Caenorhabditis elegans: one gene and its partners. The protein of the gene in region 2 purifies or fractionates together with the protein of the main gene of each other region. This does not show direct contact. Each region holds a gene or a part of one and is shown on either strand. Other genes may lie near its edges.

Region 1 (7,637 bases), on a different chromosome or scaffold from region 2:
TCTGAGAATCAACTTATTCAAATTTCGTTCCAGTATTCAGCTGCTCATGCACCATGTGCCACGCTGGATGTGCTCGTTAGTCATAATATCCTCCACAAAGCAAGGACTATGACTAGAGACACATTCAGCTTGGCGCCGAATGCATTTTATTTTTAAATTTTATCTTTAAAAGTTTCCCTAATTTCTACATTTTTCTTCAATATACAATTGATTCTTCTTATCTGACTACCAAATCATCTCGAGTCTCCAGTTCTCCCGGGGAGGCGATTCCATGTGTCTCTCTAAATCTCATTGTTCGCCTGAATGTCTAAAATGTTCGACCTCAAAAACGGTAGAGGCCCAAGGACACGCACACACAGTGTGTGATCGATAGGGGAATAGAAAACAGTAGGAACAAGACGTTGGATGCAACGAAGAAGGACACAGACCGTTTACGACTTGTCATCGTCATTTCTCAAGCGACACAAACGATGAAGACCTGCATATAGGTTGGAAGCTTTGGAAATATAGGCATTTTCATTGCAAGAAGACTCTTCTCAATAATTCTTGAGACTCACATAAATAGAAAAATAACTTTTAAAAACAGTGAAATTAGGTAGGGGTAAATAATTTAGGCATAAGGGCGATAATTATATTACAGCAGTTTCCCTCATGTAAAAATACAAACTTAATATACGGGATGATTTGGGGGAGGATGGGGATGGTTGAGATCGTTAAAACGATTTTAAAATGATTGGAAAGAAAATAAATTAGAAACACTTAAGGAAGGTGGGAAACAAATTAATTTAATCCGAGTCGGAGTCGACGACGCGTCCCCTCTTCTTCTTTGGCTGATCCGAATCGGATCCTGAATCCACGTCGTAAGTTGGTGGCGCCTTGCGAGCTCTTCCGCTGAAATAATTACATTTTTTAAAAATAATTTTCAAACTAACCTCTTCTCTCTTGGAGCCACAACGAAGCTTTCGTCGTCTTCATCATCGGAACCAGCGGCCTTCTTTCCGTTCTTCTTTGAAGCACCAAAGAAATCGGTCACCGCCTTCGACTTGGGCTCGGCCGTCTTCGGAGCAGCCTTCTTTGGAGACGGCTTTTTGCTGGTGGACGGCTTCTTCTCAGCTTCTTCATCACTGTCGCCGCCAGACAGATCGCTGAACTCGCTCTTTTTCTTCTTCGGAGCAGCTTTCTTCGCTGGAGCAGGCTTCTTTGCAGGAACTTCATCATCATCTGACAAATCGATAACTTCCGCTTTCGCAGCTCCTTTTCCAGTACGAGGTTTTGGCTTTGAGACGACATCCTCACGCTCCACACCGTCATCGTCCGAATCGAAATCGATTCCTTCCTGCAAAAAATATTTTAGAAGTTGAAGAAATTACAGAGGAAATCTTACATCGAACTCCACGTCACTTTCCTCTGACATGTCAGAGTTGAAGCCGTCGCTTTTCTCCTTCTTCGCAGTCTTCGGAGCAGCTGGAGACATGAACTTTTTAATGTCCTGGCCTTCCTTTTTCACCTTCTTTGGTTCTTTCGGCTCCTTTGGCTCTTTCTTGACGCGTTCCTTCTTTGGCTGAGACATCTTCTCATATTTGGCCTTGGTTGCAGCATCCAACATCGGCTCAATGCGCTGTCCATCTTTGGATGGAAGGACTTCCGTGCACACATTCTTCTTGGGTCCACGTCCGGTCTTTGCGTCGGCAGCAAGCTTTTTGGCGGCATTTTTGATGCTGGCATCTTGATCAGCTTTCTCGCGAGCCTCCTGTTTGTCCAACTCAGACACGAAGTTGTCCAGATCCTCATGCCAAAGATCTTGCCAGGTCTTCTTCTCGATAACTCGAACCTCAGCCATCTTCTCCTCCGATTCCTTGATGAGCTTATTCTTCTCTTCTTCCGAAAGCTTGATGAGAGCCATTCCGACAAGGTAATCGTAGTCTGATAGCTTGGTTTCAACGGCCTTCGCAGCAGAGGAAATGGCTTCGTCCTCTTCGACGGCGACAGCAGCTAGATCATCTTCGTCCAGCTCGATCTCTCCAGATTCACGAAGCTCTTTGAGTTTTTGCTCCTCCTTCCACTTCTTCACTGGATCAGCATCGAACTTCATCTTGATCAAAACATCGACAATCGCCGCCTTCTTCTTGTTCTCGAGAACAATCTCGTTGTTGATCTTGGCGAGGATGAAACGAGCCTGGTTAGTGAGACGCTTGCTCTGAGCCTGAAGAACTCCGAGAAGGTACTCCTTTCTCTGTACGTACTTCTCTTGGCGACTATCGTAGAACTCTTGAGTAATCGCTTCTGGCGAAGTGTATGTACGAAGACATCCGGCAGCATCGAAAAGTACCATGCACGTAGTGTTGATGACAGCTTGGAGCTTGAAGACTTGATGAAGATCCTGACCGCGCTCCAATTCACGAAGTTTTCCCGGCGAGAGCTTCACGACGAACTTGACAGTTGTATCTGTGTGATACTCTTTGTAGTCGACGATAACAGGCGATTTCTTGTCCGAGCTCTCCATCAATCCTTCCAAAACCTTCTCTTTGTAGTCTTGAGTCCACTGTTTGATTGGCAACTCGGTGATCTCAATGGTGTTGTCATCCAGCACAGCAACTTCACCATAGCATGCAAATCGACTCGGGTCGATTTGAATGATCTTTCCGCGGAAGTTCTTGTACCATGGAGCTAAGGCTTTCTGTGGCTCGCCGGCGATAAGACGCTTGATGTTCTTGACCAGTTCACGTGGATTGTAATTAGGAATGTTCGTGGACCATCCAGTACCGATGCCTTGAGCTCCATTGACGAGTACCATTGGAATAATCGGGCAATACCATTCTGGCTCAATACGCTGATTTTCTTCATAAAGGAAACGAAGGACATTGTCATCGTGAGCCGGGAAGAGTGTACGAGTGACTGGCGACAGTTGAGTGAAGATGTAACGAGCTGAAGCACTGTCCTTTCCACCTTGGAGACGAGTACCAAACTGTCCGATTGGAAGAAGCAGGTTGATGTTGTTGGAGCCAACGTAATCTTGAGCGAGATTCACAATTGTTCCCATAAGCGACTGTTCTCCGTGATGGTAAGCAGAAATTTCAGCGACAGCTCCAGCCAATTGAGCTACTTTGACTTCACGCTTGTCTGCTCTCTTGAAGCACGCGAAGAGAACCTTCCGCTGTCCTGGCTTGAAACCATCCACAAGGCATGGAATTGAACGCTCGTTGTCGAGATTCGAGAAGAGGACCAATTCACGATTGACGAAATCTTTGAAGGTGACGAATCGAGTGTCCTTGTTGTAGAGATATTCTTCAGCAAGTCCCTGCTGCTTTCGGTCCTTCTTCTCCCGCATCCACTTCGAGAGCCAGTCTTTTCTCTCTTCAATCTTCTTCTTCGAGAAAGCCATGTCGACAGCGTTATCATCATCAGCTCCATTGTACTTGAAGCGGATACGATGACGAACCATGTCCAAGAAGTATTCCTTAGCTTCCTTAGAAGTCGATGTACCCAATCCCTTGTAGTACTTGATCTTGTACGACTTCCAGTTATCCGTATTCATTCTCCACTCAGAATATTCTGGGAGCGAATAGAAGGAAACTTCTTCTTTTCCTTTGGTGGCTTTGACAATTGGAGTGATGAATTCTTCTACGAAGTTCCGCTGAATGAGAGAAGGCCAGAAGTGATGGATGAAATTGATCACGAGTCCTTTGATGTGTGAACCGTCTTGATCCTGATCAGCCATGACCATCAGTTTACCGTATCGAAGAGTCTTGAAGTCATCTTCTGTCTCGTACTTCTTCTTGTATTGGAGTCCCAGAATTTTGATCATGGCATTGACCTCAGCATTATCGGCGATTTGTTTCATATTTCCTTCTCGGACATTTAGCAATTTTCCTCGAAGTGGGAATACTCCATATTTGTCGCGTCCAACGACTGAAAGTCCCGAAACAGCAAGCGTTTTGGCCGAGTCTCCCTCCGTCAGAATTAATGTGCATTGTTGGGAATTTTTGGTTCCAGCGTCGTTGGCATCTTCAAGCTTTGGAATGCCCTGAAATAAATATTAATTAAAACAAGGCCACGAATTAGATGAATTGTTACCTTCAGCTTGGAAGTCTTCGTCTTGGAGCACTTTTTGTTGAGGTCGTCCATTTGTTTGAAGCGAACCCAACTCATAACAGCATCGGTGATTCCAACACTTGAAGCCGCTTTGGAGAACTTCTCGCTGAGGACGCAGGTCGATCCGAACTGCTTCTGCTGCAGGGTCATAGTCTCTTTCGTCTGGGAGTCGAATGTCGGATTTTCGATCAAGCAATTCACAAAAACCCACATGTGATTTTTGATCTGAAAATTTTGATATAAAATTGAATATTTGGAAAATTTATTAGATTTGAATTCGCATTAGCAATTCCTCGCCTCAGATTCGCCTTTTAGTAATCACAAATCATCGGAAAGTTTAAAAATGTTGCGCCGCGCCTTTAGACACTGGATAAAAACTTTCTCCAGCGTCACTAAAGCGTCGCAATTTTATTTTTCACTTGGTGCACCGATACTTCAAAAGAATCGGTGAAATCTCTAGAAAAACCTTGAAAATTTTCAGATTTCTCTTATTATCGAGTCACCAAAGAGTTCATATAGCTATTTTGAGTCATCATTGGCGGTAAATATTTTAAATTCGACGAAATTTACCTGGAATGGCTTGATATTCATCGACGTCTTTGTGAGCTTCCGCTTGATCGAGTCGATGAACTTGGCGACCATCTGATCAGCCACGTAGTCCACGTGCCGTCCTCCTTTTGTGGTAGCAATACTGTTGACAAATGACACTTGTTGGAAGCCTTTTTCCGAAAGAGCCAAGGCGACTTGCCAACGATCTCCAACTTGCTCGTATGCGATCTTGAGGGGTTCTCCTTCATTGTTGAACTGCGAAGTGTACATTTGGACGTAGTCCTCGAATCCTTTGATTGGAATTCGTTTTCCATTGAGGAACACGGCGACTCCTTTACTGGATCCAGCCACATCATACGCACGCCGAGCCATCAAATGGCAGATGTCATCGTCCAGCTCCTTCATCTTGAACTTTGCCAGATCCGGCGAGAATGTGATCTTCGTGAAGTCTTCGTCGGTGCTCTTAACAATCTTCGGCTCCTCATCACGCGTCATGTTTTTGATCCACGTTTGCTTGAATGCACTTTTGTAATCCCGTGAAGACGTCTCCAGAGTGAATTTTGTGGAGAAGATGTTGCAAAGCTTTGCTCCATATCCGTTGCGTCCTCCCGTCACTTTCTTCTCATCGTCATTGTAGTTAGAAGATGTTAGAAGAGTTCCAAAAATCAGCTCTGGGACGTAGACTTTCTCCACTTTGTGCTGAGTGACTGGGATTCCTTTGCCATTGTTGTAGACAGAGATCTCATTTTTCTCCCTGAAAGAAAGCAAAATTAAATTAAATTCCTTTATGCTACGGTCTAAACTTACTTATTGATGGTGATCTTGATTGTGTTCATCTTCGGATCTCTCTGTTTGTTGTCAGCGGCATTCACAAGAATTTCATCATAAATCTTGTAGAGTCCCGGCACGTATGAGATGTCACGCTGCTCCAGCTTGCTCTCCTCCATGTTGTAGACCCACATCGGCGTCTTCTCGGTATGCTCGACCGAACCGATGTAGGTGTCCGGGCGAAGAAGAATGTGCTCGAGTTGGGACTTCTTTTGGTAGATATCCTCGATCGCCATTTGTTTCGAGCCACCACCTTTTTTGTCGATCGACGTGAACACATTGCGGTCCTCTTCAGTCATAACCATCGACTCGTTGGCTGAAAAGAAGCAAATTAGATTCAAGAAACTCTACAAATTAACCAACCATCATCTTTCTTTTTCTTCGGTGACGCCTTCTCCTTCTTTGGTGCGGTTTTCTTCTTGGGTGAATCTTCGATAGAGAATTCACTATCAGAGTCGCTCATTGTTAGAGATCTGGAAAAAGATGACATTTAATTTTAGGACGATCGGGAGAAAGAGAGAAAGAAACGCGGTGAATATTCAATAAACTTGAGGATGCGAAGAAAAATGAGTGAAGAGAAAAAGAACTAGCACACCAGTGGACATCACTGGACACTGAACACTGAATCGATGCAAGACAGCCGGCTAGAGAGCGCACAAAAAAACAACTGAGCGCGCCAAAATGAGCGTCCGATTCGAAATTGGCGGCCTAAGAGCGTCGGGTCTCGCAGCGAACGCGCGAAAAATACACAGCTGAAACGAGTGTTACCGTAGTTGTAGCCTCGAAATACGAAATTTAGTTTTTGTGTCTGCGTCTCTTACGGAAATGCATTGCGAGATAGAAGTTGTGTAATTTTTTTGCGAAAAAATTCAAAAAAAGTAACTTTTTGTTCTAAATAATGTTTTATTTATTTTAGAGAGCTCAAAATGTGGATTGAGATTCGTAAATTTTACGAACTCATCGTCTCCTTCACAGCTTTCGATGACGACCGAAAAATAAACGAGCTGTTCAACGAAATCGAGAAATACAGATGGCGATTGAGCAATATTCTTTTGAATCCGGTATGTTTTCCGACTGATGTTAGTGTAATAAACCTTTCTAATTGAAGAGACGAACGGGTAAAGATCGGGAAAAGCTGAAGCCAGGAAATGTGGAAATGGCAGGAGTGGAAGTTGCGCTAGACGAGGAAATCTGTTCGGAAGCACTCATTTTGTCGGATATCTTTCAATTAAATGAGCTGGAAGCTGTGGATTTGATTTTGGCCGGAGAAGCTCAAAAAATACATTTCGAAGGCCTCAACAGAGGATTAATCGCTGTCGTTTGCTACTATGATGCGCACAGGCTCCTAATCGCAACAATGCGCCAAATGCTAAAATGGGACCGAGAGGATATTCCTCAACGTATCAGCAAGTTCCTCAATAGCACATTCATCAACGAGGACGTGATCAAAAACCTTTTTCGTGGGTTTTCAAAAAATTATATTATCATAAATATTACTAATTTTTTTTTCCAATTTTCAGAACAACTAATCAATTTCACCGTTCAATCAGAATTTGCACGACTTCAATCTCCAGATGTCAACGGTTTAGGAGGCTCTAAACATCAGAAATTGGTACCGAATTGATTATAATTTTGGAATTCTTTCATAAAATTAATTTCAGGTCAGAAATGCCATTGAGGAGATTCGAAGTGAAGTAATTGGTTGCATTTCGATGATCTGTGAGATTCCGGGAGGAAACGCAGTTTCGATTTCAAATCATTTATTCCAAATTGTAAAGGCAGTTCCACCGGAGAAGCTCAGTTGTAGTAGCTTGACAGCCTGGATTTCTCTCGTTAAAATCACATCGAGTGAAGTGTTGTCTCAAGGTAATATTTGAAGATGGAGTAGCGATTTTTCTGTTTTTCTTTTGTGGTTTTTCTGTATTCGAGAATATTTTCGATTTTCTAAAGCAATTCTCGCTACTCCATCTTCATGCCTATACCCAAAAATCCAGTTACAAATCTGTTTGAGAGTTTACAGTTCACGATGCTCAACAAGTGCTCACAAACATGATCGCCCACATTCGGAATGAAACAGACTGGTCGGATCAAGCAATGTGCGGAACTCTACAGCTAGCATGCGCTGTTGCTCTGAAATCGATTGCCTCATCGCCATCAGATCATCTAGG
Region 2 (4,908 bases):
GAAAACGGTATTGCAGACTTCGGCGAGCAACTCAGTCTCTTGTACTTGAATAATTGCACGCTCAACGTCTCCGACCAAAGAATCAGCACCGCGCAATTCTGAAATTGAGAATAGTAATTAAAGGTTAGAATTTATATTTTTGAAAATTAATTTTCAACTTTCTAATAACTGGCGCTACTTCGTTTTTAACAATTCTAAAATGAGTACTTTTTAATTTTAAATCAGTTTCATTTCTGATTCAATAAAATTACTTCCAAAATTTAAAGTCATTCAACAATAAAATAAGCTCACCTCTCGCATTCGAGACACTTCCCACCACTCTTGTCCCTTTGACCCCGTTGGTTCCATCGACCAGTGGTCCACCGTCCGTCACTTGAAGCAAGTTGGGATGCTTCAAAAAGTCGGACAAAATGGACATCTGAAATCGAATAATTTAAATTTCATAAGAATCGGAAAATAATCAAAGATCACGTATGGGTTTGAACCAGTAAATCGATCAATCATCAAAAAATAATAATAAAAGATAAGTGTATTAAAGTTAAAAGTGCAATCAAAAAATTAATGAATGTAACAGAATGAGATATTCAGACAACTTGAGATACATGAATATTTAAACGATAGTACACGAGTTTAAAAGAAACAAAATTAATAATTTAATCTGAATCATCCGATTCATCAGATCCATCGGAGCCATTATTACTCTCTTCTGATTCTTCTTTTGGAGCGGCTTTCTTCTCTTTTTTCTTCGGCTCCTCATCGTCCGAATCATCTGAATCACTGATATACTCTTTCGAAATGGCCTTGGATGAAGATGGTCCAGAACTTTTCTTTGATGTTTTTGATGAAGATGGTTTTGACGAGGAAGATGGTGGTCCATTCTTTCTGTATTCCTTCATTTCTTTCTCGTATCGAGACTTATCTTCTTCTGCTTTTTCCTCCCATTTCTGTAAATTAAAATTATTTTAGAGGATAAATTGTAGACTATAATCAACGAACCTTTTTATCATCCGAGCTCATCGTTTTCCATTTGGCTCCACCTTTCTTGGCCACATCAGCAACAGAATCACCATCCTCCTTCAGTTCATTTCGACTAGCAAGGAACCATTGCATGTAGGCACTTGTAGCACGTTTCGGAGCGTTTGGATCTTTGTCTTTCTTTCCTTTCTTGCCTTCCTTCTTTTCTCTTTTCTCCTTCTTTTCCCTCTTCTCTTTAGGTTCACCCTTTCTTCGCTTCGACGGAACATCTTGCTCAGAATCCGGCTCAGACTCTCCAGTTCCACTGGAATCTTGTTCTGATCCAGAATCATATTCATCGTCTGGCTCTGATCCAGTTCCTTCTGACGACTCCTTATCCTCCTTTTTCTTTTTTATATCCTTATCAAGATCATAATCTTCATCAGTACTGTCATCATCACTATCATCTCGTTGGCGTCCTTCGGCTGTAACTGCTGCTTTATATGGATCAATTTCATCATCACTGGAGTCTGCGACGGTATTCTCGACACGTTGTGAATTTCGGATTTTGATATTTTTCTTATTCAAATAATCGAATAATTTGTTGTTCTCCTCCTTTTCCATCGCATTGAAAGTTAAAGGTCCTCCATATTTCAAATCAATCTCGAAATCAAATGTCCTGGTGACAGTACCACTATCAGAACGTGCAAAATGACATGAGCTAATCTCCTCAAAGCGAATGTACATGGCTGGCTTGTGAATGAACAAAAATCCTTTTTCCATTGGGTACAATAATCCAGGGTTCTGACGATGTGTACATTGAATGGCAGGGGTGCCCGAGCTTCCCAGGAACCGTCCAGGAACAGTGATTTTTAAATTGCAAATTGATTTGAAGAGAATTGAGATTGTTTCATAGATTGGACCAGTCATGTCACGTCGTAGATTCCCATTGCTAGATTCGAGTTGTTCACTAAAAATATAATATTTTTAGACGATTGTCCGATTTTTCGTAAAATCTCTAGATAAACTCACTCAGTAAGTGCCAACTCCAAATCTTGTTCCTCGTCTTTTCCAAACTCAAAAATGAGATAACTGTATCGTGTCTGTCCCTGACGGATTGGTGGATTCAACGACAACACAAAATATACATGACGTCCATCTTTATGAGGTACCAGGAATAGACGATTGATCGACTTGATAGGAATCTTGTAGTCGTACGTTTTTCCATGAAGTGCAATACTTGTTGGATAAACTTTGATGTCGTATCTTCCACGAGGAGTTGTGCATAGAATGTCGGTGAGAAGACATATCGGTTGCTCCGTCTCGGCTTCCAATCCAGCGTATGCCAGAACAGCTTTCTTGAATTCTTCAACTTTATCAGCATCCTCCTCATTTTCAAGATCAATTGGCATATGGAATCTCATCTCCATGAGCTGAACTTTGCTATCATCATTTTGGTGGAACTCCAAAACTGCCTCATTTTTGTTTGCAATAACATTCGATACATTCGTGCACGGGATTTCGAAAATTGGCTTATCTTCCCATGAAAATTCAACAGTCTTGCCTTTTACTTCGGCTTGTCCGTAGTTCCATCCTTTGATGAAAAGATTTGATTGATCGATGGATTGAGACCAATTAGAAGAAGTGAACGATTGGATTTTCTCGAGGTCCTGAAATTTCAAGTTTGTGATTGAAGTTTTTTGAAAAGCAGCAAGAAAGCAAGAGTGTTTTAAATGAAACTAAAAACAAATCAAAATGAAATGAACAAAAAACTAACAGTATCTTTGAATCCTCCGAAGCGGTGAGCACCTCCATCGTTGAGACCGACTCGTAGTCCCGGCTTGTTGCCAAGTTTTTGCCATTTCAGTTTATCGATATCGGATCCCGTGACATTAACTGATTTTCCACCCTTATCGCCTTTGAAGTTGAGTGATTTTTCAGTCAATTTAAGTGTTCCGAACGCCAAATGACCTACATCTTCAACATAAACTCCCGGGAATTGGAGCTCAGCCATTCTGAAAATTGTTTGTCAATAAGTCTAGTTAACGAGAGAGAGAGGGAAGAAATCGAAAGAAGAGACTTCAGAAAGTATACTCCAGCAGAATGTAGCGACACTGAAAGAAAATATCGATTTTCCGAGCGAAACTAATTACGAAAATAAACCCTCTTTTCGGTGAAATTTGTTCTGGTTTCTTGCAATATGAATTCATGAATTCAATATACTCATTACCAGAGATTGAATATGATTATTTATAATTTAAACAGAAATAACGAAAAGATTTCGATAATTATCATCAGATTCGTATCGATTCTAGAAGAAAAATTGGGAAAAGTGTTGCATTATTTTTGGCGCGCCGAAGCGAAAACAATAAACTACGGTATTCGATTGTACGTGAACACCGAGCATTACTTTGTACGCAAACATGACACCTGACGACATTTCACAAGGATTCATACTTTTTCGTTTTTTTTTCTCAAAAATGTCTAAATTTTCTGATTTTTATAGCAATCGTCGCTAATCAAATAATTTCAGGGCAATGGACGACGATTTGGACCAATTTTTCCATGATGATGCGGAGCAGAATGTAAGAAATAGCAAAATCTCATGTAAATCTTACCAAAACCTTTTCAGGCTGATTTTTCGGATGATGGCTCAGAAGATGAAGCGCCTGACAATGTCGATGTCAATTATGAGTTGGAGAGGGAAGAACCCAAAAGCAAGTCTGTTGCAGAATTCACTAAATTTTTGCAAGAATGCGAATATCCGGATGACATCATAAAATACTTTAAAACGATAAAGTTTTTCGAAAAAGACGCAAAAACTGGAGATATTGTTTCTACAAAATCACTAAAGTTTACTGTAACCGGTTTCATTCAATACTTGTTTGGCACGAAGCGAATTCAGCGTCCAGTTCTCAGAGGAATCGCTAAAATTTTTGGAAGATATGATATTTTCCACTTAATCTCCCCGGAGCTTGTGAAGTCTATAACGGTGAGTTAAAATATCTGTATTTGTTTATACGAATCACACATTTTCAGCACCTAAAAGAAACTCGCACCACCGCCTGGTTCAACCTGTTCAATTTTCTTTCATTCGTCCCGCACCCAACTGATCGAGTGACGAAACCATTATTTCGCCAGTTTTGTGTCAGAACTCCATTCAACGATAAAAGTATGAAAAAACGAAAGCTGACATGGATCTCAACTGACTATGACAACGTTTGGATGGCTGTTATGAATGGAAAAATTAGTGACAAGTTGACACTGAAACTTATTCCATATATCACTCAGAACGTCATTTCGAAATTGAAAGCACCATTCAAATCTGCTGATTTCTTTTTCAAAATGTTCGACAAAACTGACTATCATGGAATTCTTTCGCTTGGTGCTATTTTTCGTCTTATTTCAGAACATAACTTGTAAGAGATTTTATTTGAAATAGATTCATATAAATCTTTATTTCAGTGAATATCCGAAATTCTACGACAAAGTATATTCATTGACGAACCCATCTCTTCTCTATATGAGTCAGAAAGAATCCATTCTGACACTTCTGGATAGTTTCCTGTCGTCTACGTGAGTTGCAATATTCTAGAAAATTTATTCTGAATCATACCTTTTCAGCCATCTCCCAACATACATCACTGCTTCGTTCCTCAAACGACTCTCCCGATGCCTTCTTCTTGCTCCAATTGATGCTCAGGAACCAATTCTTGGATTAATTAGAAATCTTGTGATTAGACATCCAAACTGTTCTGAATTGGTTCATCGTGAGGTTCCTCAGACTCTTTACGATGATCCTTTCGACAATGATGAGACAGATTTACACAAAACTCGCGCATTGGAATCAAGTCTTTGGGAGATGAAACTTCTTCAATGTCACTGGAATCAAAGTGTCAGAAAACGAGCTCATTTCGTTGATAAATCGATTCAAAAAATTGAGTCTTACGTTCG
Region 3 (6,521 bases), on a different chromosome or scaffold from region 2:
CCGAAACTGAATCATCCTTCAGTTTTAACCGTTTTGCCACTGGGCCAGGTGGTTTCGGCATCTGTAAATCGGAAATTAGCGAGTTTATTCAATTAAAAAATTATTTTCAGCAAAATTCCCACTCACCGAACCCACAAATCCACCGCAATCAGAGGGCTAAGTGCAAGACACGTGGCATGTCAAGAGCATTCCAATGCTCCACCCTCTGCATACGATCTTCATGTTTCAAGCAACTGCTTATTACACAGACGTCTAAAATTAAAACTTTTCGCCAAATGGGTCTCGCCACGAGGACTACGGTAACTCGTGTCTATGACGCTTTTGCATAATATTCTAAAGCGGCTCGAAGATCAACACGAGCTACAGTAACCTGTCGTCTGCGCGGCGAGACCCATTTGGCAAAACTTTTCCTTTTTAGAAATCTGTATAATTTTGTTGTTGTAATATTAATCAGAAAAAGTAGAAACGGAAACATTTTCAGAAAACCGACAAAATTATGTAAAAACGTGCCTCCATGAAACTTCATTTGACATTAATTGATTTTGAAATCAAAAATATTTTAGCATCGACTCAAATTTTGAGTGGGAAAGAAAAATAAGGGGATTGACAGATTTTAGTTGTAAAATTGTTGTAAAATGGGGGGTGTAACGGGACGGATTGATTGATTGAGATGCGAAGAAAATTCTTGGGGATTTAAATAGTTGAAAAACAAAACAAAAGAATAAAACGGAGGAAATTATACAAACAGGATTTACTTTCTGCGTTTGTGCGATGGTCCAGACTTGCTCGAATGTGGTCTCTTACGATCACGATCACGTGAAGGTTCTTCGACTTCACGTCTCTTATCAGCATTCGCTGCTTCTTCCTCCAAATCTGACCAATCTTTTCCTTCTGATTCATCGGAATCCAACGATCCTTCATCATCATCATCGGATTCAGTCTCTTCACCTTCACTTTCATCTTCATCACTTTCACTTCCTGATCCAGCAGATGCATCTTCTTCTTCAGGATCATAAGCATCCGAATCATCAGAATCATCCATTGCCTCTTCATTATCAGATTCAACATTAAGGAAACTCCATCCACCTTCTTCAAAGAATGCTTCAAGATCATCAGTGATTGTCTTCATAACTTTTGCCCAATTCAGTGATTGAATTCCTTCACTGTACCAAATATCACAAGTATGAAGCCATTCTTTTATCTTATCGATGCTGCTCATCGGGATTTGGGCGACCATCTGAGGTTTGATCTTGTAATCTTTGAAGATGAAGACCATATCGAAATTCTTGAGTTGAAGAGAGACACGTTCAAAGTGGACAAGTTCAACTTCGGAGAGTGTGACGATGAATGTAGGCTGAAAATAAATAAAATATAAAAGAATTCAGGAATAAAATTCAAAAAACATACCCATTCGGTGAGATTAACAAGGCACGATGCAGTTGGTTTGAGTGTGGTAGCCGAACGATACGGAACTCCAAAGAATCCGAGTCCAGCGAACGGAGAATCGAATTCAAATTGATCATTTGTGAGACGAGACACCTTCTCGCAGAAACTATTAAATGCAGCATTGAGACGACGACGCATTTCACGTTCTTGCTGTTCACTCTGCATATCATCACGATCTTGCATATGATGATACTTTCCAAGATCCGTAGTGATTTCTCCGACTTCTGTGTAGAATTGAACATCCTTATACTTCTTCTTTCCCCACAATACTGGATTCTTGAGATGGAAGTGCAGAAGGATGATCATTTCATTGTCGCACGGTTGGAAGAATGCATGTTTGATGTTGTTGTAGAGAACATCAATACGATCACCACGAAGAGATGTGTATCTGGAAAATCATTGAAATAAAAATAGGAAATTTTGAGCTTTTAGATTTTTTTTGTTTAAATAGACTAAAACTGATCCGAAACGGCATAATTTCGAAACGAAAGTTTTCAAATTTGGCAATTTTTGAGTTCAGAAACATTCGTTTTCCTTCAAAACTGTACCTAAATCCATTAGTGTGGGCCTCCAACGATCCAGTGATACGCTTTTGAATAATATTCGGACGAATCAGAAGATCCTTGAGCTTCGGATTCAATTTGTTCTGGCTCAAAATCAATTTGTCCTGCTTCACAGCTCCTTCCTTCTCCCGCTCTTCAGCCTCTTCAGTCTTGAATCTCTTCTGCATTTCCTTGATGAGTCGGAATGCGGTGCTCAAATTATGGCTCGGCGCAGTCGAATCACTGTGATGATCCTTGATGTTACTCGCACGGAACGTGAGCTCCTTCATATAGTGTGCAAGTGGATGTGGGAATTGCCCACTATCCTTTCCAACTTGAGATCCTGGAGTGGCAAAGTTGATTCGAAGATATGTGAAATCTCCTTCAACTGATTGCGAACAATTCTTTATCATGGAGATATGGAATGGGACAGGAATTCCAAATATTGGAACAACCACAGAATCATACTTGCGATCCACGAAAATCAACATCTTCTGAACGTCTGCATCTTGTGGGAATCTCTCTTCGGTTTTATATGACACATTCGATTTCTTCGACTTTTTCTCATCGGTCCCACCGCCTTGCTTTGAAAGACGAGCTTTTGCGAGCTCATTCAACTGAACTCCGAGCTCTTTCTGACGTTCCTTACGTAACTCTTCGTTTGTCGTCTTATTTCTCGTCTGATCAGTTAGAACGACACTTCTCTGACCTCTTCCGAGCATTTTCTTCTGATCATTGTCCTTTTCAGCTTCACGGTTTTCCTGCTCCTCTTTGAATTTGATGACGTTGGACTTCAGGCGTGATTTGGCTTTTTCGGTGAGAATCTCGTTATCGCCTTCTTCTTTAACCAAAATTGTATCCGAGATTGCAATTGCGGCGGGTTTTCCTTTTTCTCCTTTATTTTTGTTTGGAATACTATCGACACCAATATAAACGATGAAGACCATTCCTGCTTTGACAACCTCGTCACACTTCGCACTGATAGCAAGACGACTCTCACGGAATTCGATTCCAGTCGCAAATCCAAGCTCTTTCTTGTTCAGAGTTTCAGCAAGTTTTGGACTTTTCTCCGTCAATGTATCGATTCCAATTTTATAAACATCGCTCAGCTTGGCTCCTGGCTTCAGAGCAGCAATTACTGCCAGCTCGGCGGCAAGAATCGCTTCATAGGCAGTCTCAAGTTCAGAAGATGGGAAGATGAGCATAGTTCGCGTCAAATTTGTGCAATATTCTGATAAACGAGCTCCGAACGAAGTGATGATCGTTCCAAACTGGCTGTGAAGATGAGATTCCGAGCTTTCATGATTCCATTTGAACGAGTAATTTCCACCGGACATTACGATTGGATCATAGCATGTGTCGGCTTCATACTTGGCCAGTGCCTGTTGTACTTTTGAATCCTTCATGAAGGCGGCAAACTCATTGGAGAGAACAGAGTGACGGACTCGCTGCAAAAATAAAAAAGAATTATTTTCTCGGGATTAAAACAGTGGTTTTCCCAGGAGTACTAAAAAATGAGCCAGTTATTGGTGATAGATAAAAGGAAAAACAGTTTAGTCATCTAAAAATAGCTTTACATTTAATTGAAACAACTGGAAGAACGCTCAAAAACTGCATGAAAGTTTAATTTTCGGGTGATTTCCAACTTTCAGATTGATTTTGAGCAGTTCTTCCGCTTTTTCAATTGAATTAAAAGCTATTTTCAGATACATCAACTGCTTCATTATATTCTATCACCAAAAACTGGCTAATTATGTAGAAATGCTTGCAGCGGACTCCTGGTTCAACTATTTTCAGAACGATAAGCACCTTTTCTTGATCAATGATCTCTACGTAGCGAGCTCTTGCAGCTGTCCATGATGCGGTTGTAGCTTGTGCTGATTTTCGAATCAAATCCATCTCCTTATCGTCTTTCACTGCGAACAGATGAGTAAACGCGAGAGTGACGTCATTCTTATTGACACCGCCTTCCTCGAGCGCCTTATTCCACGAACTGACGAATTCCGAGCTGAATTTCTCTTTGACGAAATTTCCAACATCTCCGCCGGCACTTTTGATGTGATCGATGAGCTTTTCAAAGTTTCCAGCGTCTTTGTCGGTTTTATCGCGGAGCAGTGTGCTGACTGTTGGCACTTTTCCTGAGCTCTGATTGTCTCCAGTGACTGATCCGAAGAATTCGACTTTGCGATTACTTCCGAGAATGTAAATGTGATCTTTGAGAAGCAACAGGACTGTGTCAGCGATTTCGTGGCCAAACAGCCAGGTCTGAAATAAAAATTTGTCTTGAGTTTGAACAAATTCTGAAAAATCCTTACAAATAGTGCGCTGGTCTTTGTATATGGATTATCAGTCTCTCCGTATACAAAAGCAAGTGATTTGATCGAATCTAGACCATCGGCTCCCTTCTCCTGTAAAATATTTGATTAAAAATTCGTAAAGTCCTGAAAGTCACAAACCCAGTGCTCATAAAGCCTCTCCGCTCTCTGGAAAAAGAGATCCTTGTTGAGAACTGCCCGTTTTCCAGACATTTCTCCCCTGAAAGTTAGAAATTGTGTTAAAGTCACGAGGATTGAGAGATGGAAGCAAAAATCGATAACGTAAACAAAGTGACCAGCAACGGATTCGGATAGGCTAAAAGTTTGAAATTTGCGAAAAAATTAATTTTTTTTGACACAATTTTAAAATTTTGAAAAAAACGTTTTGACGAGACAAATATTTTTTCACTGAAGAACTGTAAACTCTGAAAAATTAGAGCTGAAAGTGAGGATTGCGCGCGAAAAAGAATGGAATGAAGTTGGGCGTGGTCAAGGAACGCAACAGCCGCACGCACTTTCGCAACCACTCCGCATGCAATATTCCCGCCATGTTATTTACGGAGGGGCCATGTGAGAGTACACAATTGTGATGAATTCTTGAAGAAACATCAATTCCAGCGAGAGTTCAGAAAGTGGAGTTTCTGTAGGGTAGAAGATGTGGAATAAGTGATGAGATTATGTTGAGCGGGATGTAGGATGTCAGAAGAATCGTTGAAAAGAACAGAGTTGTAGATACAACAAGTCTTCGGAAATGCCGCGTGAACGGTAGATCAATTATTTCTTGAATTGGATTAAAGTCGGGATCGTTGAGATTTCTCATAAACCATAGTACACCAGGACGAAGGATTTCTCGAAGAAGAATCACAAATGACGCTGAATAAAATACATAAATCATTCCAACCATCCAATGAAGGAATATTGACATGAATGGAGCTGTGGCAAATGTTGCAATTCTTTGTGATAATGTTATATTGAATAATGGAAGTGTACAAACATCCATCCAACATCCACACATTACAGGGAAAAATCCAATTTCCAAGAATACCAGCAAGAAGACTATAATGATAAGGAGAGATGGCATTTGGGAACTAGTTTCAGATTCGGAATGCTAAAATATATTGAAGTTAAAGTCGACTTTTAGCAATTATTACGCCGGCAATTGCGAAAAATCCTGAAAGAAAAGTTTAATATTTTTCCTTTTCAGATAATCAAAGTTACAAATCCGGTTGTAATCCTACGATAGTGCCTACAATATTTCAGGCCTTGAAACGCAGACAACAGTAAAATTATAAGAACTTTAGAAAATTTTGAGGAGTTTAGCTCTACATCTGTCAATTTGGTATAAATTATCTGTTTTCTGAAAAATAAAGTATTTAACTATTTTAACAGCGGTCCACAAGAGAAACGGACGAAATATTTGAAGAAATTTTAAAAATTTAAAAAAAAACCGCGATAGGGTTGGTTAAAGGGACATCGGCTTACTCGGATGGGTCTCGACACGATTGTGGTTTTGCGTTGTTGTCGACGAACATTTTTGAATTCTAATTTTTTCCCTATTTTTTTGCCATAAAAGCTGTAGAATTGCTATATTTTTAAAATGTTTTCCATCGAAAAATTGTGAGATTGAGTTTGAAAATTACCGAGTTCCATTTTATTTTCATTGGATCTGTTTTTGATAGTTTTTACTTTTTTACAAATATTTTACAGGAGAAGGGAGCCGATGGTCTAGATTCGATCAAATCACTTGCTTTTGTATACGGAGAGACTGATAATCCATATACAAAGACCAGCGAACTATTTGTAAGGATTTTTCAGACTTTGTTCAAACTCAAGACAAATTTTTATTTCAGACCTGGCTTTTTGGCCACGAAATCGCTGACACAGTCCTGTTGCTTCTCAATGATCACATTTACATTCTCGGAAGTAATCGCAAAGTCGAATTCTTCGGATCAGTCACTGGAGACAATCAGAGCTCAGGAAAAGTGCCAACAGTCAGCACACTGCTCCGCGATAAAACCGATAAAGACGCTGGAAACTTTGAAAAGCTCATTGATCACATCAAAAGTGCAGGCGGAGATGTTGGAAATTTCGTCAAAGAGAAATTCAGCTCGGAATTCGTCAGTTCGTGGAATAAGGCGCTCGAGGAAGGCGGTGTCAATAAGAATGACGTTACTCTCGCGTTTACTCATCTGTTCGCAGTTAAAGACGATAAGGAGAT

What was found. Proteins that work in one complex are often made in the same cells at the same time.
Region 1: the proteins of hmg-4 (region 2) and top-2 purify together in Caenorhabditis elegans (affinity purification with mass spectrometry, with the first as the bait; 2 studies listed by BioGRID). This does not show direct contact.
Region 3: the proteins of hmg-4 (region 2) and spt-16 purify together in Caenorhabditis elegans (affinity purification with mass spectrometry; 3 studies listed by BioGRID, with this or other methods). This does not show direct contact.

The regions. Positions count from the first base shown.
Region 1 is NC_003280.10:11,873,452-11,881,088, reverse strand, and holds top-2 (DNA topoisomerase 2 top-2), read right to left. Parts: upstream 5,942-7,637; 5' UTR 5,933-5,941; coding exon 5,833-5,932; intron 5,786-5,832; coding exon 5,449-5,785; intron 5,396-5,448; coding exon 4,663-5,395; intron 4,630-4,662; exon of another isoform or gene 4,535-4,629; intron 4,534-4,534; exon of another isoform or gene 4,473-4,533; intron 4,459-4,472; exon of another isoform or gene 4,387-4,458; intron 4,318-4,386; coding exon 4,075-4,317; intron 4,025-4,074; coding exon 1,385-4,024; intron 1,337-1,384; coding exon 933-1,336; intron 892-932; coding exon 786-891; 3' UTR 501-785; downstream 1-500. Other genes in the region: npp-3 (Nuclear Pore complex Protein), read left to right, coding at 6,396-6,530, 6,578-6,929, 6,990-7,081, 7,131-7,335, 7,490-7,637. UniProt on the Caenorhabditis elegans protein: Control of topological states of DNA by transient breakage and subsequent rejoining of DNA strands. Topoisomerase II makes double-strand breaks.
Region 2 is NC_003281.10:7,378,628-7,383,535, forward strand, and holds hmg-4 (FACT complex subunit SSRP1-A), read right to left. Parts: upstream 2,970-4,908; 5' UTR 2,969-2,969; coding exon 2,732-2,968; intron 2,625-2,731; coding exon 1,987-2,624; intron 1,925-1,986; coding exon 997-1,924; intron 945-996; coding exon 654-944; 3' UTR 516-653; downstream 1-515. Other genes in the region: T20B12.7 (Anamorsin homolog), read right to left, coding at 1-98, 292-418; T20B12.3 (nucleolar complex associated 4), read left to right, coding at 3,492-3,539, 3,587-3,946, 3,994-4,373, 4,420-4,530, 4,579-4,908.
Region 3 is NC_003279.8:10,787,132-10,793,652, reverse strand, and holds spt-16 (FACT complex subunit spt-16), read right to left. Parts: upstream 4,524-6,521; 5' UTR 4,517-4,523; coding exon 4,445-4,516; intron 4,397-4,444; coding exon 4,304-4,396; intron 4,254-4,303; coding exon 3,798-4,253; intron 3,437-3,797; coding exon 1,995-3,436; intron 1,835-1,994; coding exon 1,408-1,834; intron 1,355-1,407; coding exon 752-1,354; 3' UTR 501-751; downstream 1-500. Other genes in the region: F55A3.2 (C2H2-type domain-containing protein), read right to left, coding at 1-61. UniProt on the Caenorhabditis elegans protein: Component of the FACT complex, a general chromatin factor that acts to reorganize nucleosomes. The FACT complex is involved in multiple processes that require DNA as a template such as mRNA elongation, DNA replication and DNA repair.